Callithrix jacchus: one gene and its partners. The protein of the gene in region 1 purifies or fractionates together with the protein of each later gene. This does not show direct contact. Links are inferred from orthologs where the notes say so. Each region holds a gene or a part of one and is shown in the gene's direction. Other genes may lie near its edges.

Evidence for each region.
Region 2: the proteins of SF3A2 (region 1) and ZC3H18 purify together in Homo sapiens (affinity purification with mass spectrometry; 3 studies listed by BioGRID and IntAct, with this or other methods). This does not show direct contact. The link is inferred for Callithrix jacchus from reciprocal best matches to the Homo sapiens genes SF3A2 and ZC3H18.
Region 3: the proteins of SF3A2 (region 1) and SNRPA fractionate together in Homo sapiens (co-fractionation; 3 studies listed by BioGRID and IntAct, with this or other methods). This does not show direct contact. The link is inferred for Callithrix jacchus from reciprocal best matches to the Homo sapiens genes SF3A2 and SNRPA.
Region 4: the proteins of SF3A2 (region 1) and CDC5L purify together in Homo sapiens (affinity purification with mass spectrometry; 3 studies listed by BioGRID and IntAct, with this or other methods). This does not show direct contact. The link is inferred for Callithrix jacchus from reciprocal best matches to the Homo sapiens genes SF3A2 and CDC5L.
Region 5: the proteins of SF3A2 (region 1) and CHERP purify together in Homo sapiens (affinity purification with mass spectrometry; 3 studies listed by BioGRID, with this or other methods). This does not show direct contact. The link is inferred for Callithrix jacchus from reciprocal best matches to the Homo sapiens genes SF3A2 and CHERP.
Region 6: the proteins of SF3A2 (region 1) and RBM17 purify together in Homo sapiens (affinity purification with mass spectrometry; 4 studies listed by BioGRID and IntAct, counting the BioPlex papers as one, with this or other methods). This does not show direct contact. The link is inferred for Callithrix jacchus from reciprocal best matches to the Homo sapiens genes SF3A2 and RBM17.
Region 7: the proteins of SF3A2 (region 1) and SNRPB2 purify together in Homo sapiens (affinity purification with mass spectrometry; 6 studies listed by BioGRID and IntAct, with this or other methods). This does not show direct contact. The link is inferred for Callithrix jacchus from reciprocal best matches to the Homo sapiens genes SF3A2 and SNRPB2.

Annotation. Positions count from the first base shown.
Region 1 is NC_133523.1:2,124,478-2,127,977, forward strand, and holds part of SF3A2 (splicing factor 3A subunit 2), read left to right. Parts: intron 1-457; exon of another isoform or gene 458-595; intron 596-1,717; 5' UTR 1,718-1,754; coding exon 1,755-1,880; intron 1,881-2,877; coding exon 2,878-2,949; intron 2,950-3,309; coding exon 3,310-3,356; intron 3,357-3,500. UniProt on the Homo sapiens protein: Component of the 17S U2 SnRNP complex of the spliceosome, a large ribonucleoprotein complex that removes introns from transcribed pre-mRNAs.
Region 2 is NC_133521.1:46,292,117-46,294,728, forward strand, and holds the end of ZC3H18 (zinc finger CCCH domain-containing protein 18), read left to right. Parts: intron 1-684; coding exon 685-781; intron 782-1,264; coding exon 1,265-1,466; 3' UTR 1,467-2,112; downstream 2,113-2,612.
Region 3 is NC_133523.1:36,292,417-36,296,453, forward strand, and holds the start of SNRPA (U1 small nuclear ribonucleoprotein A), read left to right. Parts: upstream 1-1,237; 5' UTR 1,238-1,352; intron 1,353-1,517; exon of another isoform or gene 1,518-1,588; intron 1,589-1,848; exon of another isoform or gene 1,849-2,046; 5' UTR 2,047-2,068; coding exon 2,069-2,141; intron 2,142-4,037. Other genes in the region: ACTMAP (actin maturation protease), read right to left, coding at 155-477. UniProt on the Homo sapiens protein: Component of the spliceosomal U1 snRNP, which is essential for recognition of the pre-mRNA 5' splice-site and the subsequent assembly of the spliceosome. U1 snRNP is the first snRNP to interact with pre-mRNA.
Region 4 is NC_133505.1:52,853,576-52,857,075, forward strand, and holds part of CDC5L (cell division cycle 5-like protein), read left to right. Parts: intron 1-2,298; coding exon 2,299-2,398; intron 2,399-3,500.
Region 5 is NC_133523.1:15,139,346-15,142,452, reverse strand, and holds the end of CHERP (calcium homeostasis endoplasmic reticulum protein), read left to right. Parts: exon of another isoform or gene 1-108; coding exon 109-252; exon of another isoform or gene 253-353; coding exon 354-470; exon of another isoform or gene 471-523; intron 524-883; coding exon 884-978; intron 979-1,222; coding exon 1,223-1,416; 3' UTR 1,417-2,607; downstream 2,608-3,107. UniProt on the Homo sapiens protein: Involved in calcium homeostasis, growth and proliferation.
Region 6 is NC_133508.1:7,679,550-7,682,290, reverse strand, and holds the end of RBM17 (splicing factor 45), read left to right. Parts: intron 1-659; coding exon 660-732; intron 733-865; coding exon 866-969; 3' UTR 970-2,241; downstream 2,242-2,741. UniProt on the Homo sapiens protein: Splice factor that binds to the single-stranded 3'AG at the exon/intron border and promotes its utilization in the second catalytic step. Involved in the regulation of alternative splicing and the utilization of cryptic splice sites.
Region 7 is NC_133506.1:23,839,157-23,843,323, forward strand, and holds the start of SNRPB2 (U2 small nuclear ribonucleoprotein B''), read left to right. Parts: upstream 1-1,367; 5' UTR 1,368-1,423; exon of another isoform or gene 1,424-1,527; intron 1,528-2,999; 5' UTR 3,000-3,033; coding exon 3,034-3,097; intron 3,098-3,465; coding exon 3,466-3,638; intron 3,639-4,167. UniProt on the Homo sapiens protein: Involved in pre-mRNA splicing as component of the spliceosome. Associated with sn-RNP U2, where it contributes to the binding of stem loop IV of U2 snRNA.

The DNA of each region.
Region 1 (3,500 bases):
GTTGTCATAAACTAACTGGGTGGGAGGGTCCTGGGCCCCCACAGCTGAGGAGTGACCTCAGGTCCCACCGCAGGTCAGCAGCCCGTCCCACCGGTTACCACACTGGATCGTTGTCATAAACTAACTGGGTGGGAGGGTCCTGGGCCCCCACAGCTGAGGAGTGACCTCAGGTCCCACCGCAGGTCAGCAGCCCGTCCCACCGGTTACCACACTGGATCGTTGTCATAAACTAACTGGGTGGGAGGGTCCTGGGCCCCCACAGCTGAGGAGTGACCTCAGGTCCCACCGCAGGTCAGCAGCCCGTCCCACCGGTTACCACACTGGATCGTTGTCATAAACTAACTGGGTGGGAGGGTCCTGGGCCCCCACAGCTGAGGAGTGACCTCAGGTCCCACCGCAGGTCAGCAGCCCGTCCCACCGGTTACCACACTGGATCGTTGTCATAAACTAACTGGGTGGGAGGGTCCTGGGCCCCCACAGCTGAGGAGTGACCTCAGGTCCCACCGCAGGTCAGCAGCACAGCTGGCCTGTACCTCAGCGTGCTCCTGCACACCTGCGGCCGCTGTGGCAGATCACCGAAGACGCGGCAGTTCAGGTGACGTGGCTGCATCCGCTTCTGGATCTGGGGCTGGAAGTGCAAACAGTCCCTGAGGCTCCATCCCTTCTGTTAGCGGAACTCTTCCCGCCTTTCCCCTCGTCCTCCCTGTTCACAGCACAGCACAGCCTCTCTGTCCCCCAGCCTCCCCCTCCTCTCGGGAGGATGCTGAAAGGATCACCCGTTGTTTTAAGATCCTCAGGCCCACCTGCGCTTCCCTTTCCTGCCGTGTGAGGGTTCGCAGGGCCCAGGGGTTCGCATGTGGACGGACGTCTTTGGGGGCCATGAATGATTCACTCGGTCTCCTGAGCTCACCCAGGGCCTTTAAACCAGGGCCCGGGGCAGGTGTTGAAGGGGCAGGGAAAAGCGTCAGGAGAGGAGGGGAAGCTGCCTGGAGCTTGGGTCTGCCTGGAGCCTGAGGGTGTGGAGCAGCGGCAGAGGGCTGCGGCGGGAAGCGGGTGTTTGGGACTCAGGAGAGCCCTCCTGCGCCACAGGCAGATGTGGCTGATCTCCCGGTGTTACCCAGTGAGGACCGGAAGATCCACGTCTCCCTCTCTGCCCAGAAAATTCACAGCCGATTCCGAGAGATAGAACTCAGGTTGGGACAAGTAAGCGTAGCCAACCCTAGAGGGAGTTGAGAGGAAGGTGTGAACACTGGGGGCTCGGGCAGTCCCGATGGCTTCCTGGAGGTGGTGACTCGGTGGTGAGAATTTGGCCGCCTCTTCCCTGGTTGTGCCTTCTCTGACTCCCTGTCGCCATTTCAGGTCTCCAGGCCTTGGCACCGTGGGCTGGAGTGGCTTCCCCTCCACCCTCCTGCACGGTCAAGAGGCAGGCTCCAGCTTCCTCATGTCTGTGCCCGGCCCACAGTGGGCCCTGGCACCCTGGAAGAGAGTCAGTGCACTAGCAGGTGGCCCCTCAGGGCTGGTGAGACCCTGGCGCTGGGAGTGCAGGGTGAGGAGCAGTCTTGCTGGCCCCAACCTGACTGCCCGGCCCTGGGGTGGCAGCAGCAGCCCCGAGTTCTAGCCGTCCTTCTCAGTCTCCTCTTGGCCTCCACAGGCTGGGTGCCCCAGGAGGTCCCAGCAGCAGCCCCGCCTTCTCAGCCGTCTTCACACTCCTCCACAGGTGTCTCCCAGTCTGCTGAAGCCCGGAGGCCGTCACCATGGACTTCCAGCATCGCCCTGGGGGCAAGACCGGGAGCGGGGGCGTGGCCTCCTCCTCCGAGAGCAACCGTGACCGCAGGGAGCGCCTCCGGCAGCTGGCCCTGGAGACCATCGACATCAACAAGGTGGGCGGCCGGCTGGGCAGGGCGATGCAGCCGCAGCTCCCATCCAGCCACGCCAGGCAGCAGACCCTCTGTGGCTCTGAGCCCCGGGTGGAAATGGTGGGCTCTGTGCAAAGCCTTGTTGGGCATCATCCAGTTTGTGGAAATGGGGGGAGCTGATGTCGGTCCAGTCAGATGCAGTGAAGGCTCTGGTTTTACCTTGTGCAGAGGTGGGGTGGGCCGGGTCCCCCTCAGCACTGTGGACGTCGGGGCTGCAGCACTGGGCTGGGGCCGTCCCGGGCACTGTAGGGTGCCAAGCAGCATCCCTTCCCCCACTGGCTCCGTGCCAGGAGCTCCCCCCATCGGGACAAACACAGATGTCCCCAGACACCGCCCAGGCCCCTGTGAGGGTGGATCCCAGCCGAGACCCTGCCAGCGTGCGCTTCCTTAGGTTTGGATGCCACCAGGACCCACCAGTGCCGTGTTCCCTGACATGCCCCACGGGCCTGGCCTGCAGCATAGGCTCTGTGACGTTCCTTGTCTTCCAGATGAGATCACGGTGGAGGGGTGCCAGGCCGCAGGGGGTGGAGTTAGGGTTTGAACTCCAGGGTCTGAGACGAGAAGTGTGTGCCTGCCTGCCCCAGTTCAGGGCCCGTGGATGCGCGTGGCCTTCCATGTCACCCATTGCTTTTCTCATCCCTGCGTCTGCCTTGTGCTGACCCCTGGCCTGGTGGCGTGGACAGCGGACGGCTCCTTGCATCAGAGTGACAGGCGCTGCTGTCCTGGCTCTGCCTCTCTGCCTCAGAACCACCAGGAAGGTGGTGCCAGGGCTCCCTGGGAACCCACTGCTCAAAGCCTAGGCCACAGCCCCAGGTGGCCACACGCGTGCTCACGAGGCCCCTCGCCAGATCCATCAGGGACAGCCAGGCCTCCACAGAAAGGGGGTCCCACCTCTGAGGGCCCCGACCGCAGGGCAGGCCATTATCTTCTGTCTAACGGGGTACCTGTTCTTCCCTTCCAGGACCCGTATTTCATGAAAAACCACCTGGGCTCCTATGAATGCAAGCTCTGCCTAACGCTTCACAACAACGAGGTGCGGCCCGTGCTGTCCCCTCGGCCTCGAGTCACGCGTGTTTCCTGCCCCGTGTCTGTCCCCTCAGCCTCGAGTCACGCGTGTTTCCTGCCCCGTGTCTGTCCCCTCGGCCTCGAGTCACGCGTGTTTCCTGCCCCGTGTCTGTCCCCTCGGCCTCGAGTCACGCGTGTTTCCTGCCCCGTGTCTTGCCCCCTCGGCCTCGAGTCACGCGTGTTTCCTGCCCCATGTCTTGCCCCCTCGGCCTCGAGTCACGCGTGTTTCCTGCCCCGTGTCTGTCCCCTCGGCCTTGAGTCACGCGTGTTTCCTGCCCCGTGTCTGTCCCCTCGGCCTCGAGTCACATGTGTTTCCTTTCCACTCCAGGGGAGCTACCTGGCACATACCCAGGGGAAGAAGCACCAGACCAACTTGTGAGTACCTCGCCCGCGTCTCACCGGCTGCTCCAGCAGCCCGTCTCCATGAGCCCCCGGGCCACGGCTCCACAGCGTGGAAACCAGCCTGGCCTGGGCCTGAATGGGCGCTGGAGTAAGGTCTCTGGGGAGCATTAGGGAACA
Region 2 (2,612 bases), on another chromosome or scaffold:
AGAGATTGTCCTGGCTGGCTTTGATGGGTGGAGCGCAAACCAAACAGGCCAAGGGCCTGGCCACCGGCACAGACGCTCCCAGACCAGGGAATAGGCAGGGGCTTCCAGACCCCTCCCCAAGTCGTCCTTTAGGCTTGTCGGGGGCAGGAAGGGGAATTGCTCTCCTTTGTCCCTAAGCCCAGGGCCTGTGCCCCGTGCAGCTGGCCTGGAACAGCCTTGCTGTTTTTGCCTGGGGTCAGAGCCAGGGCCACTGGGGTCCTGCTGACCTAGCTTCACTCTCGAGCCTCGGGCCTGTGCTGGCCAGTGGTCCCTCCCTGCCTCTCTCATCCCGACAGCGTCAGTGAAACACTCCTGGTCTCGGCTTCGCTTGTATTTCTCTACTGCCAGCCTTTCTTCTTGTTCCATATATGAAGACCCACTTGACCCATTTCTTCAGAGCTAGGAAGGAGTTTTGCCTTCCTGTGAGATAGTGGCTGCTCAGTGGAACCTGGAGCCCAGGTTTGGCTCAGCCTCGTTTCCAGATGCCTTGGGGCCCACATCTCTCTTCTCTTCTGCTTGGCTCTTGCCTTTTCATCTCTTTATAAAAAGGAAGGAAGTGAACTGAGCAGCCTCAGGCTTTAGAAGTGGGTCCCTGGCATCCCCTGTAAACCAGGAAGGTGGTCTCACTCTGTACCTATCACACAGGTTCTCGGGACAGGAAGTCAGGTGGGAGACTGGGCTCCCCGAAGCCAGAGCGGCAGAGAGGCCAGAACTCCAAAGCCCCTGCAGCCCCATCTGACAGGTGAGTCCCACCCAGCACGTGCCCTGGGCGCACCTCGGGGGCTAGACCAAGCCCGTCCCTCGGGGAGGCCAGCAGCATCAGGGCCAGCCCTGAGCCAGGCCAGAGGCTCCGCTTAGTTCAGAAGGCAGAAGGGCAGCCCAGGCTGGAGGTGTCACTCCAGCTTCTGCTAGGCAGACAGGGTGAGGGGCAGGGAAGGCCAGCTCCATCCCCACAAACACACTCCTGCCCTGGTCGAGGCTGCCCTGGGCACAGAGGTGGGAAGAAGAGCAGGAGGTTGTGCGGGGCCGGCCCAGGCCCCTCCCAGTCTCTGGTCCACAAAGCCCGGGAGCCCGTGGGTAGGACCAGGCCTGCTTGTGACAGCATCAGCCCCTGCCTGTCTTGGTGGCCACTGAGGGCGCAGTGGAAGCTCCCCTGCAGGGAGGACAACCTCGCTGCCCTGTCTGCCTGCAGACGAGGCTCACAGTCTTCCCCACCCGCTTCCAGGAAGCGCCAGCTGTCACCGCAGGCTAAGAGTTCCAGCAAGGTCACCAGCGTGCCTGGCAAAGCCTCGGATCCCGGCGCCACCGCCAGCACCAAATCAGGGAAGGCCAGTACACTGTCACGGCGGGAGGAGCTGCTGAAGCAGCTGAAGGCCGTGGAGGACGCTATCGCGCGCAAGCGGGCCAAGATCCCTGGGAAAGCGTAGGCCGTGCCCCACCGGGCTGGACGTGTTTTTATACATAGGGTAAGCACAGCCATTTCGGATTTTGCAGTTAATATCTTATTTTGGCTGTGATTCTTTTTAAAAAGTAAAAAAGAAAAAAAAGTTTCTCAGCTGGAAAAGAAGCCACAGAGGAAATGATGCCGCTGAATCCCCGCCTCCCTCCTCAGAGCAGAAGTCCCGCTGGACAGACACCGACAGCGCTAGTGACCAGCACGGTTCTCATGTAAATTACAAGCCCCAGCCGCCAGCCCCGCCGTCTCTTCCTCCTCCACCGTCTTCTTCCCTGGCCCCAGTCAGGCCCGAGGAGCCCCCACTCTGGGTCCCTGGCTCCAGGTCCAGGCAGCCAGGCTCCCTCCTGAGCCGAGAAACGGAACACCTCGTGAACCACTGGTGGCACCTCCTCCTCCTCACCCGCCCCTGGATCAAAAATATATATATATTCTCAACTAAAGTCTGATCAGGAAATACTTCCTGTCTTTTATTTTAAGCATCAAATTGTTTTAGTTGATTTAAAAAGGAAAAAATACAGAAAAGACCAAAAAAAGACCAAGGGTATTGTTGGGGCATCTGTCTAATGTGGAGGGTCTTTTTTTGAGGGGTCTCCTAAAATAAAATATTTTGATAAGCAGCTGTCCTTGCCCTCGTGCTGTGTGTGCCCTCTGCCTACGAGCAGCCGGCGCCGCCTCTGCTGCACGCTGCGCTCAGCCCTGCGCTCGGGAGCCACTGGAGGGTGAGGGTGTGGCCACGCTCATCCCCCACCACCTGCCCCAAGGACCCACCCTGGAGCCGGAGATGTTGGCGGCGGGGGGGGGGGGGGGGGGGGGGCTGGCACCCATGCTGCTCCCCCTGGGCTGTGCTGGGACTTCCTTGGTCTGTGAGGAGGAGGCACCTTCCCTGCACAGGCCATGGTGCTGGAGGCCAAGAGTTCAGGGCCAGCTGCCAGCCCCCAGTGTGATGCCCCATTCCACAGCAGGAGCCACAGGCACAGCCCCCAGGACACCCGCTGCAGCCCCCTGCTCTCCACCTTGAGAGCCACGGGCCTGTGCCCAGCAGAGGCCTCCCAAGCACACTCCAAGGCCTCCTTTAATCAGATTCAAGTAGCCACGGTGTGGTGCCCAGGCCTGCCGC
Region 3 (4,037 bases), about 34 Mb from region 1:
CAAGGGGTCTACGTGGGGGTCCTAAATAGTCAGGCTGTTTGATCTTGAGGACACGAGAACCCCCCAAGAGGAGACAAGAGGAGGCGGCTGAAGTGATCTGCGGAGAAGCAACTGGGGCAGAGCCTGGGCGGTGGGTGGGGTATGGAGACCCTACCGGTCCTTGTGCAGCTTCAGGAGCCTCTTCACATCTTCTCTGCCCTTGGGGACCGGGCCAGCCTTCTCCAAGGCCTCCTTCAGGAGCTGGCTCTTCTCCAGGCCGAAGACATGAGGGCGAGCAGGCCCCGAGGCAGCGGGTGGAGGAGGCAGTGGGGGCGGTGGGGGAACAGGAGTTTGCTGACTCCAGGGACGGGATGAAAAAGCTAAAAAGTCCAGGGCACTTGGGGGTAGAGGAGGAGGTGGAATGCTGCTGGCTTGGGGTACAGGGGTTCTTGGAGGAGGGATTGGTGATTTTAGGGGAGGAGAGCTTGGTGAAGTCATTTTGGGGTCTCCAGGAGGTGCTGAGGGGTTCAGAAGGTGGGGAGGGAGGGATCGTCCAAGAGGACGGCCTCAGGGACGGAAATTTTAAAAGTTTAAGAGCTGAATTCCAGAATCTGGGGGCAGAGCAGTGGGTGTGAAAGGACCAGGGCTAACATTTGAAACAGTGGGAGCAGGAATTGCGAGGCTGACCTCAGCCTTAAGGCACCTGACGGCTAACACGGCGGGGACGGGTTGTTACCTCGGGAGGCTTAGGTGGACAGTTAGTAGGAGTTAACTCCTTCTCTGGGGCCGAATGTGGAAACTCATGGGTAAGTCTGGGATATGAAGGCTCAGACATAGAGTGAGGTGCCTGAAGGGTGCGACTTAGGGGCCCGGGGCTAAAGATTCGGAGAACTTAGACTCAGTCCCCTCTCACATCCCAGGCCCGAGTTCGGAACCTTTGAGCTGACCTTTTGAGTCAGAGGCAAGAGGTCAAAAAGGACACCTGGCAGGGAAAGTGGCCTAGTTGTGGAGAAGGTCCTGGAGTCAGAGCAATAAAAAACCTCCGTGGGTTGGAGAAGACTCAGAGATCACAGGCTGGAGGGCGCCGCGATAACCGGTGGAACAGGGAAAGGAGTCAGGAAGTAAAATGAGCCGCCCACTCCCGCAAAATGGCGGCCCCCGCACACAGCCTTTCCCATATTATGTGGTATCACCCTCAATAGTGCCCGCCCATTTGGCGATCACGTGACAGAAAACGCATCTCACGCGGGGAAGAGGCGGGGCTTCAAACAGGCTTGCCTCCGGAAGACACCGCAGTTCGAAACGCGTCCCGATTGGCAAAACAATCGTGACCTTCACTGATTGGTCCGTAGACTCGGGAGCTACGGAAGGAGGTGGGCTTGTCGAAAGTGGGGCGGAGTTTTTCTACCTAAGCGGGAACCCAAATATCGTTTTGATTGGCAAGAACTGAGCCTAGAAACGAGTCTTGCTCTGATTGGGCAAGCTACTGAGTTTCCGCATGGGGATTGGCTGACAGAAAGGTAGAGGCGGGGCCAGGAGAGAAAGCTTTGTGGTTTGGTCTCAGAAAAGTAGCAGGCGCCAGTTGAGAAAACTGCGGCCCCATCGGAAGGTAACCTCGGGCGCAGACTAACATCGGCGGAAGGCGGGCGGTGCGCTTGGCGTCCGGGCCTTCCTGTGCCCGTCTGAGGAAACTTCTGCCTCTCGAGGCCAGGCTGCCCAAGACCCATCCTTTCTTCCTTTACTGGCTCTTACATCCGGGTTTTTTCTCCCGGACTGCCCTTCGGACGCGTCGACCAATGGGAACCGCCATTTAGGGGGCTCCGCCCACTGGGTCGCGTAGAGCATCCTGGAACTCGTAGTAAATCTCTCGAGAGTTCCCTCTGCACGCGGGCTCGAGAAGTGGGTCCTACGCACGCTTTGTTGCCCACGCTGTGCCTCCGTCCTTCCCACTCCCGCCTTACCTGACTTCCTCTCGGAAGGAAGAACCTTGAGCCCCCCGTTAAGCCAACGTTGGGACAAAGGATTTGGAGAAAACCAGGGCTAAAGTCACGTTATTTCTCGTTTAAGCCTTACCTCGACACTTCACTCCATGGCAGTTCCCGAGACCCGCCCTAACCACACTATTTATATCAACAACCTCAATGAGAAGATCAAGAAGGATGGTGAGTTCTCGGGATAGTCCGCACTCCAGGCTGTCCCGCACGGGCTGGTCTCCCTTCCACCCCCTGCACCTGCTTTTCTTTCTCAGTGTTCGTCCAAGCAAACTGTTCCAGTGAACCCTTTGGCCTTTACACAAACGACTTCCTCTGTCTTCAACACTCGTTAGTTCATCTTACACTCTGCCCTTTAACCTGGTCACTGTTGCTCATCTTACAAGGTTTCAGGACACAGGACCCCTCCTCCAGGAAGCCTTCCCTATCCTGCGTCCCTTCACGTGGCTGCCCCTGACTTCCTTCCATCAAGCCCGGATTCCTCTGGGCTGTCGTGGGGCTCTCTCTCCTCCCAGTGGCCTTTGAGCTCCATGAGGGCAACGCCTGGGGCTTCTTGGTCACCGGCGTTTTCAGTGATCAGTGCACAGTGAAAATGTACCGTACTGGGGCTAACGCTCTGTATCATGGGCTGGTCTATGCGCTATTTTTTTTTTTTTTTTTTTTTTTTTTTTTTTTTTTTGAGACGGAGTCTTGCTCTATCCCCAGGCTGGAGTGCAGTGGCGCAATCTCGGCTCACTGCAACATCCGACTCCTGGGTTCAAGCGATTCTCCCACCTCAGCCTTCTGAGTAGCTGGGACCACAGGCACGTGCCACCATGCCCGGCTATTTTTTGTATTTTTAGTAGAGATGGGATTTCACCAAGATGGTCTCGATCTCTTAACCTTGTGATCCGCCCGCCTCGGCCTCCCAAAGTGCTGGGATTACAGGCGTGAGCCACCGCTCCCAATCTTGGTTACATTTAATCCTCAAAACAAGCCTGTAGGAAGAAAGAAGGCTTTTGTTATTCCCATTCCTCAAATAAGCTGAGACTGGGGTGATGTGACTTGGCCTGGGTCACATAGCCACCGGTATCTAACTCCCGTTTTTGGCAGGGCGTGGTGGCTCAGGCCGAAAGGATCACTTAAACACAGGAGTTCAAGATCAGCCTGGGCAACAAAGCGAGATCTTGTCTCTACAAAAAAAAAAAAAAAAAAGCCTGGGCATGGGTGGGTCACGTCTGTGGTCCCAGCTGCTCAGGAGGCTGAGATGGGAGGATCGCTTGAGCTACAGAGGTTGAGGCTGCAGTGAGCTATGATTGCACTGCAGCCTGGGCAGAGCAAGAACCTATGTAAAAAAAGAACTTGATTATTGAAATCGGCAAGACTCTACAGCTTTCTCAAGTAAATTATCACCTTTATTGAACCTCATTTTCTGTGTCTGAAAACTGAACAAAGTCATAATACCTTCTTTGCATCGATGTTGGGGGAAATTAAATTAGCTAAATCTCTAAGTGTTTCTGTTTTATGGTACCTGGCAGCTAGGAAGGGCTGGATAAATGTTAGCTCTTATCACCTCAAGAAAATTGTCGGGAGAAGCGAAGGAGCTTGCTGGGATTCAGTTTGAGGTTACCAGTGAAGTTGCGCTTGAGGAAAGCATAGCCTACAGCCAGGCGCAGTGGCTCACGCCTGTAATCCCAACACACTGGGAGGCAGAGGCGGGTAGATCACTTAAAGCCAGGAGTTCGAGACCAGCCTGGCTAACATGCTGAAACCCTGTCTTTACTAAAAATACAAAAATTAGCCAGGTGTGGCGGTGCATGTCTGTAGCCCCGGCTACTCGGGAGGCTGAGGCAGAAGAATCACTTGAAACCCAGGAAGCGGAGGTTTTTGGGTGTTTTTTTTTTTTTGCAATTTTTTACTTTTTCCCTCCCAGAACACGGGAAGGAAGTAGAGGTCTTAGTGAGCAGAGTTCGCACCACTGTGCTCCAGCCAGGACGGTAGTGTGAGACTGTCTCAAAAAAAAAAAAAAAAAAAAAAAAAAAAAGACAAAATCAGGAATGTAAATATTGCATATGCTTTTAGAGTGTG
Region 4 (3,500 bases), on another chromosome or scaffold:
ATCTAAGTGTCCATCAATGGATGAATGGATAAAGAAAATGTGGGCTGGGCATGGTGGCTCACGGCTGTAATCTCAGCACTTTGGGCATATCACTTGAGCCCAGGAATTTGAGACCAGCATAGCCAACATGGTGAAACCCTGCCTCTATAAAAAATACAAAAATTAGCCAGGTGTGGTGGCGCATGCCTGTAGATCCAGCTACTGGGGAGGCTGAGGTGGGAGGATCACTTGAGCCTAGGAGGCTGAGTTTGCAGAGAGCCAAGATCAAGCTTTGGCACTGCAGCCTGGACAACAGAGCAAGACCCTGTCTCAAAAAAAAAAAATAGTGATGTACACACACACACACACACACACGCACGCACACACAAAATACTATTTGGCCATAAAAAACAATGAAATGTCATTTGCAGCAGCATGGATGGCACTAGAAGTCATTATGTTACGTGAAATAAGCCGGGAACAGAGAGAGAAATACTGCATATTCTCACTCATCTGTGGGAGCTAAAAACATTTATTTCATGGAGGTAGAGAATAGAGTGATAGATGCCAGAGGCTGGGAACAGTGTGTAGGTGGGAGAGCGGGATGAAGACGGGTTGGTTAATGGGTACAAGTATAGATGGAAAGAAATAAGTTACAATGTTTGGTAGCAGAATAGGGTCACTATAGTTAGCGACAGTGTATTATGTATTCCAAAGTAGCTGGAAGAGAGATCTGAAATAAATACTCAAGGCAGTGGATACCCCAGATACCCTGACTTGATCATTACACATTCTATGCATGTAACAAACTCTCACACGTACACTATAAATATGTAAAGTATGTATTAACAGAAAATCAAGAATTGGATTTTCAACCTGTGTGTGCCACCTATTAGTTGTTTGACCTTCAGCAAGTCTTAAAATCTCTTCGAGCTGTGATTCCCTTTGTTGCTAGATGGAGAATACTAGTAACTGCTTTACCTTAGCAGGGTTGTTGTGAAGCATTCAGTGACTATTTGTTGAGTTTCTAAAATATAAAAGTTTGAATGTAGTGGTTCCCAAAGGCAGGCTGTGGCTAGGCTGGCTGCATCATTATCACAGGGGGTACATTTAAAAATAGAAATATGAGGGCTTCCCCTGTATATACGGAGTCAGTACATCTGAGGTGGTGTGAGGGGCAAGGGAAGAGCAGTGACCTTGGAATCTGAGTATTTTACAAGTTCCCATGTGATTTGGTTGGACAGCCTCGCATAGGAATTGTTTGAAGGCATCAATAATGGCGTGTGTTACTCCATTCCACAGAGCCATGCAAAATGTATTGGAGGAGAGAAATTGTTCTGAGGGAAAAAAAAGCATCTCATGATAGCAGTTCTCTCATAATGAAATCGTTTTTACCATATTTCACAATTTGTGCTGTGTCAGTTAGTTGATGATAATGAAGGATACAGTAATTCTAGCCACTGTTTGATGAATAGGATGCTTTACATATTTCATTTTACTTAGCTCTTCTCAACATCCTTGTGAAGTAGGAATTGTCTTCCAATTTTATAGGAAGATACACTTAGGGAGGGTGAGTAAGTGACTATAAGGTCACATAGCTAGCAAGTGGTGGGCCTGATTTTTAACCTAGGTTCTTTGATTTCAAAACTCAAGCTGTTTCCATTATGCTACACTGTGAGTATATTTATGTTTTTTTCTAATAGAGTAATAGAGTGTCTCTTACATACCTTGCTTGTAAGGTATGTAAGAACTAAGAAAAAACTTAGTTTTTCTTCTTTTTTTTTTCCCCACATGAAAGTTTTTAGTTTATTAAGCTTCTTGTGAAAAATCCACAATGGCCACAGGTAACATCATTGCAGCACCTTTACCCCTTTGGCTGTGATCCAGTCCCCAGCTCACTTTTTGCCAGCATCAACATTGGCCTTTGTGGTCTCCCTGACTTTCTTCATTCTGTTCCTGCGTTCCTTTCGTTGTGTTCTTGAGGTCTTTTTCTTCTCATATAGGCCATGTCTTTCAAGTCTATGTTTGGTTTCATTTTTCTTTGCATACAGGGGATCATAAATCATGCCAAAGCCAGTTGTCTTACCACCACCAAAATGAGTTCTGAATCCAAATACAAAGATGACATCCGGTGTGGTCTTGTACATTTGGCTAGTTTTTCCCAAATTTCTGTCTTAGGCACTGTTGCTTTCCCGGGGTAAAGGACAATGACCATTTATTTCCTCTGAAGCAGTCGGTTGGTCATGAACTTTCTAGTGTGGATAGTTACTGTGTCGTTCATGATGGCGGTCTCAGTTTTTCTTCTTTTAATTTTTGCAGATGAACTTGAGATGCTTTCTGAAGCCAGAGCTCGCTTGGCTAATACTCAGGGAAAGAAGGCCAAGAGGAAAGCAAGAGAGAAACAATTGGAAGAAGCAAGGTATGTGTGGATATAGGAATAAAAAGCAAAGTGTTTTTTTCACTTAACTATCAACACAGAATACTTCTGTGACCAGATAGGTGTTTTCTTCCCCCCACCCACCCCCCACCACCAGCAAGCAGGCAATCCTGCAGTGGATAGCAGGTTGTCCTCTAATTCAGTTAACTCTAATACTGTCTATCTGGAGATAGCTCCAGATCTCACAGGTTGAAGACTTAGTCCCACAAGACTGAACACCAGTTTTGATGCTTGACCACAAGCCTCAGGTTGTTTTTCTTGTGTTTCTGACTAAAGAGCTGGCTTCCACTGCCTTCTCCTTGGGTTCTATTCATTTGCTAGAGGGCCCACAGAACTCAAGAAAATACTCAATTTACTAGTTTATTATAAAGGATATGTTAAAGGATACAAATTAACAGCCACATGAAGAGATACATAGGGTGAAGTCTGGAAGGGTCCTGAATGCAGGTGCTTATGTCCCATTGAAGCTGGGATATGCCACCCTCTGAGCAAGTGGGTGTGTTCTTGTTCACCTTTTTGGAAGCCCCATGTATTTGGCTGCCCACAAGTTCTCCAGACTCTGTCCTTTTGGGTTTGTATGGAGGCTTCATTACATAGGCAAGATTGATTACATCATTGGCCGTTGCTTATCAACTGAACCCTCAGCCCTTCTCCCCTCTCCTGAGGTTGGGGGGTAGGGCTGAAAGTCCCAATCCTCTAATACTGCCTTGGTCTTTCTGGTGACAGCCATCAGTCAACTCATTAACATACAGAAAGACCCTTATCACTCGGAAGAGTCCCAGGATTTTAGAAGTTGCATTGTTGTAAACAGGGATGAAGACCAAATATATTATTTCACAATGTCACAGTGTGGTTGTTACCATTCATAGTTCAGTAATTAGTCTAGGCATCCTAAGGACCAATAAAAATGACATGATTTATTTTTTTTATTTGTTTTGTTTTTGAGATGGAATTTCGCTCTTTTTACCCAGGCTGGAGTGCAATGGCGCAATCTCGGCTCATCACAGCCTATTCTCCTGCCTCAGCCTCCTGGGTAGCTGGGATTACAGGCACGCGCCACCACTCCCACCTAATTTTTTTTTTT
Region 5 (3,107 bases), about 13 Mb from region 1:
CCCCCTGCATCTGGGGTCTTCCAGGAACCTGAGAGCCAGGGTGGGCCAGGTCCAGCCCACAGGGAGACAGGCCACCTGGGCACCCAATCATCAGGCCTCTCCCCACAGCGGACCCTCAAGGTCTCGGAGCAGATCCAAGAGCCGAGGGCGTTCTTCCTCCCGCTCCAACTCAAGATCCTCCAAGTCATCAGGCTCATACTCAAGGTCAAGGTCGCGCTCCTGCTCCCGCTCCTACTCCCGCTCCAGATCCAGGTAGACAGAGGCCGCCTTGGGAGGGTAGTGCCCGAGGCCTCTTCCTGAGGCCTCCCCACAGTGCCTGGCTGCTGCTGACACATGGACACTCTTCCCTGCAGAAGCCGGAGCAGGTCGCGCTCCTCCAGAAGCCGTTCCAGGTCCCAGTCGCGGTCCCGGTCCAAGTCGTACTCCCCGGGAAGGAGACGTCGGTCACGGTCCAGGAGCCCTACCCCGCCGTAAGATTGTCTTAACTGCCATGCTGGTAACACTGGGACTCTGCGGTGCTTTGCTGTGAATATGGAAGCATTGGTGGTTAGGAGCCCGCCAGCGTTAGCCTAGGGACAGGGGCACCCCTCACCACCCCCACAGCAGTCACTTGGCCATGCCCGAGGCGGTAGCTGGGGTCTGCTAACCACCATCAGGGTTCACTGTGTCCCACCCTTGATGCTGTGTGTGTGGTGGGTAGGCACCAGCGGCTGAAGCCCCCTTATCCGGCTGATGCAGGATAAATGGGTGTAGGCACAAAATCTCTGTACGGTGTCGCCTGGCGATGGTGAGCACACACGAGCCACAGCTCTGAGGCCCCATCACTGTCACGCCAATAAATGTCTCAGTTATTCCTTAAAAGAATAACCTGTCTCGATTTTAGTTCCTCTGCTGGTCTGGGTTCTAATTCAGCACCTCCCATCCCTGACTCAAGGCTCGGAGAAGAGAACAAAGGCCATCAGATGCTGGTGAAAATGGGTAAGGCAGGGGAATGGGGACGGCTGGGAAGGGTCTTCACATGTGCTGGACCTGGCATGTGGGGATGGATGGAGTCAGGCCGGTTCTGACTCTGCCCAGAGCCTCTAGACAGGGCTGGCCTGCGGGATTCTCTCACTCTACCCATCTCCCATGTCTGCACTGCCTGTCTGTATATTCGGCCCCCCATGTGCACCCACATCTGCGCCATCCTGTTGCGGTCGTGATCGTGCATCTCTCTTTCCAGGCTGGAGTGGCTCTGGCGGCCTTGGTGCAAAGGAGCAAGGGATCCAGGACCCTATCAAGGGCGGGGACGTCCGGGATAAGTGGGACCAGTATAAAGGCGTGGGCGTGGCCCTGGACGACCCCTACGAGAACTACCGCAGGAACAAGAGCTACTCCTTCATCGCCCGCATGAAGGCCAGGGACGAGTGCAAGTGAATAAACTTGCACTTGCCGCGCTGGTGGCCAGCACTGCCGGCTGTGGGACCTTCCTGGTGGAGTGGCAGTGGAAGATCACAGTGACAGCTCAGTTCTCCCACCGTCTCCAGAAGGGGAGAGCCCCACAGGAAGAGAAGGAAGACCAGCACATGCCCAGTGGGAGCGCCATGCTCACGGCAGCCACCAGGGCCCCAGGCTCGTTTTCCTTTACAGTGAAACAAGAAACACAAGACCCTCCGCTCCCCGAGTAAGACTTCTTCACCCACGAAGGGTTGGATGCACATCTGCCCTAAGTCAGCAAAGCCTCCTCTCGGGCTCCAGGAGAAGTGTGTGCAGGAGAGGTCAGCCTGGGCCAGAGCCGGTGCCCCAGCTCCCCAGCTTCCCTGACCCACCTTCCCCTCAGCTGCGTAGGGAGAATGCCGAGGCCCAGTGCCATGACTGCCCACAGACTGAAAAACACAAACACAAAACTTTGACTTGGAAAGTCAAGCAGGGTTTTCATTTTTATTCCCCTTGGTTTAGTTTTAGAAGAATATTGACCTGAGAGGAGGCCCAGTGAGATTCTCAAACCCGATTCCTTGAAGGCATACTGGCCCTTAGTTATTTTAGTTGTGTAAGTTGATACTTTTTTTCTGGAATGTTAGCCATGTGCTATTGTCTGGGAAACAGAAGATTCTAACAGGAAACCAGCTTAAGGCACTTCAGGTCGAGTGCTGCCCTCAGAGTCCATGCCGGTTGCGTTCCCTGCTTCAGTTTCGCACTTGGAAGAACCCTGCACTGGTTGGCGTGCACACAACGGCCCAGTCCCATCCAGAGTGTGGAGCCTGCCCCCCCCCCACCCAGCCAGGGCCTCCCACTATGCCATTTCACACCCCACAGGGAGGGGAGTTGCACCTGCTGGAGCTGGTGAATGGCTACTGGGAATCAGCCACACCTCATGTCTGTGGGCAGCCTAGTGCGATGCCATTCATTTGTACAAAAACATTTTTGAAGAATTCTTTTCAATAAGATGCAAAATCCTCCAGGTTTTCAACCCAATGTGATACAATATTTGATTCTGTTCTAAATTTCCTGTAGCTGTGAATCCTTAAAACGTTATGATTCAGGATAAAACGTAAATACGTGCTGTTAGCAATTTCTTGTGGATTTCATTGTTTTGCCTTCAAATAAAGCCTTTTTTTAAAGACCTTCCTCCCCGCTTGTGTAAGTCAGAAGTGTGCTCAGGCTGAGTGAGGAGACGTGTGTCCTGGTTTGAGCTGTGCTGCTTGGGGTCAGGCTGTGCCCGGTGGCTCACATGGCGTCCCCAGCATGCTCGCCTGTCCCATGTCCTTATCCTCGAGCAGGGCTTTTCCCATCCACCGTGCCTCCCTCTGGCTTGCTGGGAAGCCAGGACCTGCCTGGGTGGAACTGCTCTGCAGAGGCTGGTGGCCCCTCTCCTGTGAGTGAGGACAGCTCCACTGAAACTCCCTTTCCTCTAGCCTGTGGTGTCAGAGCTGGGCATGCTGTTGGGAGAACTGTCACTGAGCTGGGATTTGGCTCAGAGGAATATGGGCGGGACCCTCACTCCAGCACTACCTGCCCCCACCACAGAACTGGATGCTGAGGGAGGGAGGGAGGGTGTGACTACGCACGCACACACTGAGTACAGAGGATGAGGTACCTTTCCTTAGACATCACATCAAGTTCCACCT
Region 6 (2,741 bases), on another chromosome or scaffold:
TAAAATAACTAGAGGATATTCTGTTACTAGACTAGGTAGTATTGGCTGTAGTTTCAGGAGTTGAGAAAAGGATTAGATCAGCGAAAAAATAGAGACTGTCTTGTGAGCAATAACTGATGTGGGCTGCGCTTTGAAATGAATAGGTGGCATTTGTAGGGAAGGGTGTTCTGATTGGCTGCTGGGAGGTAGTGAGGGTCAGGACTACCAAAAGGGAATGAATGGGCCTATTGGGGATTAGCAGAAGTGCTGTGGTGGGTGAAATGGACACATTGCAGAGGGCCAGGAAAGCTTAGACCAAGCTAGTCAAAATGAGACCTGATATAAAAGACCACTAGAGCACCAACCTTTTTAATGTAAAAGCTCTGCTCCCTCTTTCTTTATTTTATTGCTGTTTCTTGACCTCATAATTATTTGTTTACATCATCAGCTGGCACGGGGCCTTCATGAGGTCAGAGACTGCTTAATACCTGTCATTAAAACAGGCATTCAGTACATTTTTGATGATGAACAAAGTATACTTATTTCCTTGGTGTTTGACAGCTGCTTGACTGTACATGGTGATAATTAGAATATTCACTCTGACAAATCATTTAAAAGAGAAAACCACTTTCAGCTCAGTCTCGAGTCCCTTTTCTCATCACGCTCTCCTTTTCATCCAGATTCCTGGTGCCCCCGATGATGAAGCAGTACGGATATTTTTAGAATTTGAGAGAGTTGAATCAGCAATTAAAGGTGAGTTAGCTGAATATTAAAGAATAAAATAGTTGAATTTACAACCTTCATCTTTACAAGTAAAGTTACTGTTTAAAGTTAAACCTTTATCATGTCTTATGCCTATATTAACAGTCTTTTGTTTGCCTTTCAGCGGTTGTTGACTTGAATGGGAGGTATTTTGGTGGACGGGTGGTAAAAGCATGTTTCTACAATTTGGACAAATTCAGGGTCTTGGATTTGGCAGAGCAAGTTTGATTTTAAGAACTAGAGTACAAGTCATCGCCAGTGATCCTTAAATGAACTGCGCTGAGAAACGAAGGAAAAGGTCACAGCCTGCATGGCTGTTGCATACCAAGACTCTTGGAAGGACTTCTAAGATATATGTTGATTGATCCCTTTTTTATTTTGTGGTTTTTTAATATAGTATAAAAATCCTTTTAAAAAAAAACAATCTGTGTGCCTCTCTGGTTGTTTCTCTTTTTTATTACTATTCCTGAGTTGATAACATTTTTTGTTAGATTTCATGGTAATTCTCAAGTGCTTCAATGATGCAGCATTTCTTGCACTAAAAAAAAAAGAAATCCAGAAAGTTTTAGGACATGGGGTTATATTAAGTTATTTGTTTTTCTTTCTTTTTTCTTTTAATAAAGCCTGCAAGTTACTAAATTGTAGTTTCATAAGTTCTGTAATAAGGTATCATCTTGGCAGTGTGCCAAAGGTGAAAACGATACTTTCTCTGACAGAGAAATACTTCTTAGTGACTCCAGTCGTAGAAACACGTCTTACCACCTGAATAAGACTGAAGAATTGTGAATATACCATGGCCTATTGGATGAATCATTTGCCGTTAAGCTAGGTCAGACTGTAGGGTTTGTGATGGATTTATGAGTATGTGGGTATAGAAATCATAAATATAGCACTTGTTTTCAGAGATTCAAGCATAGTCTTTAGGGTAGATCAGAAATGGCAAGTAATTCAAAACCTAGCAGGTGCATTGTAAATATGTGCCTAATTATGTTTTGGAAATGGCAGTTCCTTGGGGTCTTGTTTCTGCTGGCACAATTTGCAATAGTATTCTATTGTATTTAATTCCAAAATTTATAAAATTCATCCACATTGGCCACGTATACAATACTGCCAATTAATAGAATTCTGGAATTGTGAGAAATTGTATCACTGAAGTTCAGTAGGATGTGTGGCTTCAAAATTTATCAGGACCACAAAAAAGAAAACAAATATTTGGTACTGAGGTTCATTGCCAGGGCAGGAGGTATTTCCAGAAAATACTCATGCCTGTGTTCTGTTCCTTGCTTTCCCAAATACTGCATGTGACTCTCCCGAAGTGGCAGCTGAAGGACTCGAGCCCATGTTGTCTCCTTTGGTTATTATGACATGAAAGTGTATCAAGAACTCAGCATTTCTTTGCATCCATGGACTTGGTTTGGAGACATAAGGAATATTCTGACCCTTTTTAAAAAAGGATTTTCTCATGTTTTTATTTAACATAAATAAAAGAATAACATTTTATCTTTTGTGGTATTTTATTGAGTTTTATGGTAAAAGTGCACCTGTTCTGTAAAGTGAGTTGGGGTGAAGGAGTGCAAGGTAAAGTATATAATTGAGCATCGCAGAGGACAGTAAGAGTCAAAGGCAGCCCTGGAACTGGAGTTATGTATGGAATGAGGCCAACCATTCCTCGTGTGGACACCATGTGTGAACTTAAAAGTACCCAAATGTGACATGCTGAATGTAACGATGACTGGTTTAATTTTTGAAACTCCAGTGTGCTTAAGTTGGAACTCTGATGGTTCTAACCCACCTTTCGTGCGTGCATTTATGGTTGATATGCTTTGTAATAACTGTTTGTTTGCATTTAGGTGGCTTTTCCTGACATTCTCATGGTCAGCAACCAGAGAATTGCAAGCAACTCATACTACTTGATTTCTGTTCACGTGGGCACAACTTAGTGAGTGTCTTTCTCCCCATTCCCTTATTTTTAAAATTACCCATAACTGTATTAATCATTT
Region 7 (4,167 bases), on another chromosome or scaffold:
GTCCTCCTGTCTCAGCCTCCCAAAGTGCTGGGATTACAAGTGTGAGCAATTGCACTCAGCTATTTCTTCTAGTTTTAGATCTCTATAATAAAATGATGCTTTTCTGTGATCCCTTAACATTGTCTACACTTATGTGCATGTTCATATTTGTTTTACTGTTGCCTAGTTTTCCATTTCATTCATTCTTTTATCCAATACATGTTAATTATCACTTTTCTAATTAATAAGGGTACTTGAGTAAGCAGAGCAGACAAACCCCCACCCTTAAGAAATCTGTATTATTTTTAAGTTGTTGCAAATTTGGGTTTTTATTTAAAAAAATAAAAATTCCAAGCTGATAAAACCAATCTGACAGCTACTTGCCTCACCAATATATGCATGTTATAGCCAGAATTCAGAAATAACATTTATGATCATTTATTTTGTCTGGCAATGTGCCAATCAATTTACATTTATTTTAGCTCATTTAATGCTCACAACAACTAGAAGGAGGCACTATTAGGATACCTATTTTACAGATAAAGAAAGTGAAGGTCAGAGAGAATATAGTTAAGAGAAGGATACAAGATGAGGTTCCCCTAGACCCTTAACAACCATTTCATATTCCAGGTGATGCTTTGCAGACATCTGATGAATGGATGAATGAACGAATGCATGCACTTCTTGGAATTCTCATTCAGCTTGGCATAAACACTAACTCCTTAGATTACCCTAGAAAAATCTAGACATTTTGTGGGAAGAGAAGAGTGGGAAGGGTGGTAGGGAATTATTTTTTCGAGTGAGTTGAGGCAGATGATCTTAAAGATGACTGGGTTCTACCCGAGCATGGTTGCCATATCTGAAAGATGAGAATAGGGCAGACTCGGAGTTCTGTCCGCCCTTGGTAGCCTCTGAGATTCAAGCTCATCAGCAGAGTGTTGGAGGACAGTTCCTGCAGAGTCCAGGAATCAGAGGAGACTTGGAGGCAGGAGGAACTGGCTATCCTAAAGGTGATGTTAAACCCGGGCAGCCGGAGCCCAAAGAAGGGCGAAACCAGGACTAATTGCCCCACAGCATGAGGGGCAGCGCCTGTTAAATTACATAGGATTTGGAAAGGTGTTAGGCACTCTTGTGCGGGGTGAAGCTTCGCAGGGTCGTGGTACGGGAAATTATTCATTCCCTTCCCTATTTCCTCGCAGCACGGTCCCCACAACCCTGCTATCTTTCCCCATTCCCACTTCCGAACTCATCTCCTGCCCTCCAGGCATTACGCAAGCGCAGAGAGATTCCCAGCCTTGGCCGCCAGAGAGCCGGAAGCATCGATCGACTCCGTGCTCGGCTTCTAGACTTGTCGACGCTCGATTGAGGAGCCTGGCAACGTTACTTCCGGTGCCTGGCTCCGTTTCCTGCTGTTAGATCTAACGAGGGACGGCGTACGCCTTAGGTGGGTTCCTGCGCCTTCTACCTCCTTGCTCTTTCTGTTCTCCTGACTCCTCTGCCTTTCTTTTCCCCTGTTGCAGCTGGGAGCGGACGAAGCGTAAAGCTGAGGTGGGGACGCGTTTGCCCCGGGGTTCTGTCTTAGGGGCGAGAAGGGATGGAGACTGACGCGCGTGACTGGCTGGGGCCGGGCATCGCGTCTTTGCTCCCTTGGACTTCTTGCCGGGGCTTTGGGCGAAGGTGCTTGTGTCTAGAGAGGTGGGAGGCTTGCGCGTACGAAGTAAAGGATAATTCATGTCCATCTGCTTTTGCGAGGCGTGGGCCGTTCACTGAGCTTTCAGGTGTCTTCCAGCGGCTCCCTTTTGGTAGTGGCGGGTAATTCAGAGAGGCCCTGTAGCAATCAAGGTTATGTTCAAACTTCGCGGGAGACCCTGCAGGAACCTCCCCTTTCTTCCCCTACCTTCGGTTTGACCTCTGCCTCAATCACTTCCCTTTCGTCGTCTCCTTTGCGACTCCTGCCCCTTCTCCAGATTTCGATTTAGGGGGTCGCAAGGTTTTGAGGAGCGTTTCCGTAGCCCCGCTTGTAGGCTCTTACCTTGTCAATCGTCCAGTGCTGTTCATATACAGTGGATGCTCTGTAAATATTTGTGAGATAAAGAAACTTTGGGGTACACAAGGAAATCAAGCAAGTTCACACTTTGCAAGTAAAAACAATGTGGAAAATGCAATTGTGTGGTAGATGAGAAAAATGTAGAGAAAGCAAGGGCTGAATTTCCAGGCCTAATGCTTATTAGCTGTGTGACCTTAGGCAAGTCCCTTAACTGGTAATAGCTGTTAATAATTACTCCTAAGTGCTTACCGCTGATGCAGAACGTGCTAGAACTCATTTAGTCTTCTGAGTTCTGTTGGGTAGGTTCTGTTACCGTTCTCGTTTCACTGATGACATGAGGGATTAAGGAACTTTCCTCAGGCAAACAGATAGTAAGGAGCATAAATAGGATTTCACTTCACATCTGGCTGGCACTAGAATCTGAGTTTAACAGTCATGCCATACTGCTCTCATTGAGCTCCCTTCTTTTAGGTCGGTTAGAGGTAACCTTGGAATCCAGATAGCTTGGAGATACAAATTAAGTGATAGGTATGGAAGGACTTTATAAGTGCACCCATGAAATTGGCATGAAGTTGGCAAGCTTCATTAATGTCTAATCTTATGATTTTTACTGGGTGTACATTTGCTACTTTGTCATTTTTCTTCAAATCTGTATTTTTAAATTGTTTCATCGAGCAGGCGGAAAGTCAGTATCACTTGTCATAAGCGAAAAGTAAGTGTAAAAATAAATGTGTTGAATTAAATATTGTTACAAAAATCTGGCTAGGTATTGGTGCCCCAAGTTTTGAGCATGAGACACTGTTCTTTTGTATGAAAGGAAGGGCTAGTGGGTGCTGGAGATACAATAAAGATTACAGCCAAACTGACATTTTCTGACAATTGGGAATTGAAAGAGAAGTGAAAAGTTAATAATTCTTGTGTTGTGTCCTTATGCTACAGTCCAGTATAATTTAATCTTTCTTTTTTGTAACAGATTACTTACTGTTTTTGAAGAATTTAACGCAAACATGGATATCAGACCAAATCATACAATTTATATCAACAATATGAATGACAAAATTAAAAAGGAAGGTAAGTGCTTTTTAAAATACTTGTTCACAACTAAAATGTGTTTATTTACTACTGTCTTAAAAATCGTACTGCCTGAAAACCTCTCACCTCATCATCTTAGTGCCTGAAATAATGGTTTATCCCATTTCCTGTAAGGATGGGAAGGCTTTTAAAAAACAAAAATAGATAGGAACTGACACTGTGTTCAGTCTGTTGCTACTCATAGCTATAATGGTTTCATACAGCCAATGGGAATAGTATATGTTTTTTATAAATATTAATATAACTGTATACATAAGTGAATGGTGTTAGCAACTCAATAGAGTATACTTTGAAGACTTGTCATTATTTGATTCACCAGTGACTTGTTTCTTTTCTACTTTGGACAGAATTGAAGAGATCCCTCTATGCCCTGTTTTCTCAGTTTGGTCATGTCGTGGACATTGTGGCTTTAAAGACCATGAAGATGAGGGGGCAGGCCTTTGTCATCTTTAAGGAACTGGGCTCATCCACGAATGCTTTGAGACAGTTACAAGGATTTCCATTTTATGGTAAACCAATGGTAAGCTAATCCTATTATTTTCCCTTTAATCAAGAAACTAATGATACTAATGGTAGAGTCGATTTGCAAATATGCTTGAAATTGTGGCTGTTGCTTTCTGCTTTTAATTATGTATGTCTTGGTTTTACGTATTTTTATAGAAAAACAGTAGCTGTAGAGTTTAATTTACAACAGTTCAGATGGGCAAAAACAAAATACATTGAGTTGTAGAATGTTTTTATAAATGGCAGTCTAGGCAATATTCTTATCTCAAAAAGTTACAAATTAATAATAACCTGGAAGACTTGAAACCTGTTTATAAACTTGTAAAACATTATAAAAGCCATGAGTCAAAGAGGAAATTCAGTCTGAAGTTTTAGAAAATGCTAATAGTGAAATACTATATGTCAGAAGCTATACAGTCTAGAAGAAACAATGATTGAAAGAAAAATTATAGGGTTAAACTCATAAGATTAAGGAATAACAATGGAAATGAACTTGTTATTCATGGAGAGTTTTAAACTCAGGAATGACATAATGAGATTCACAT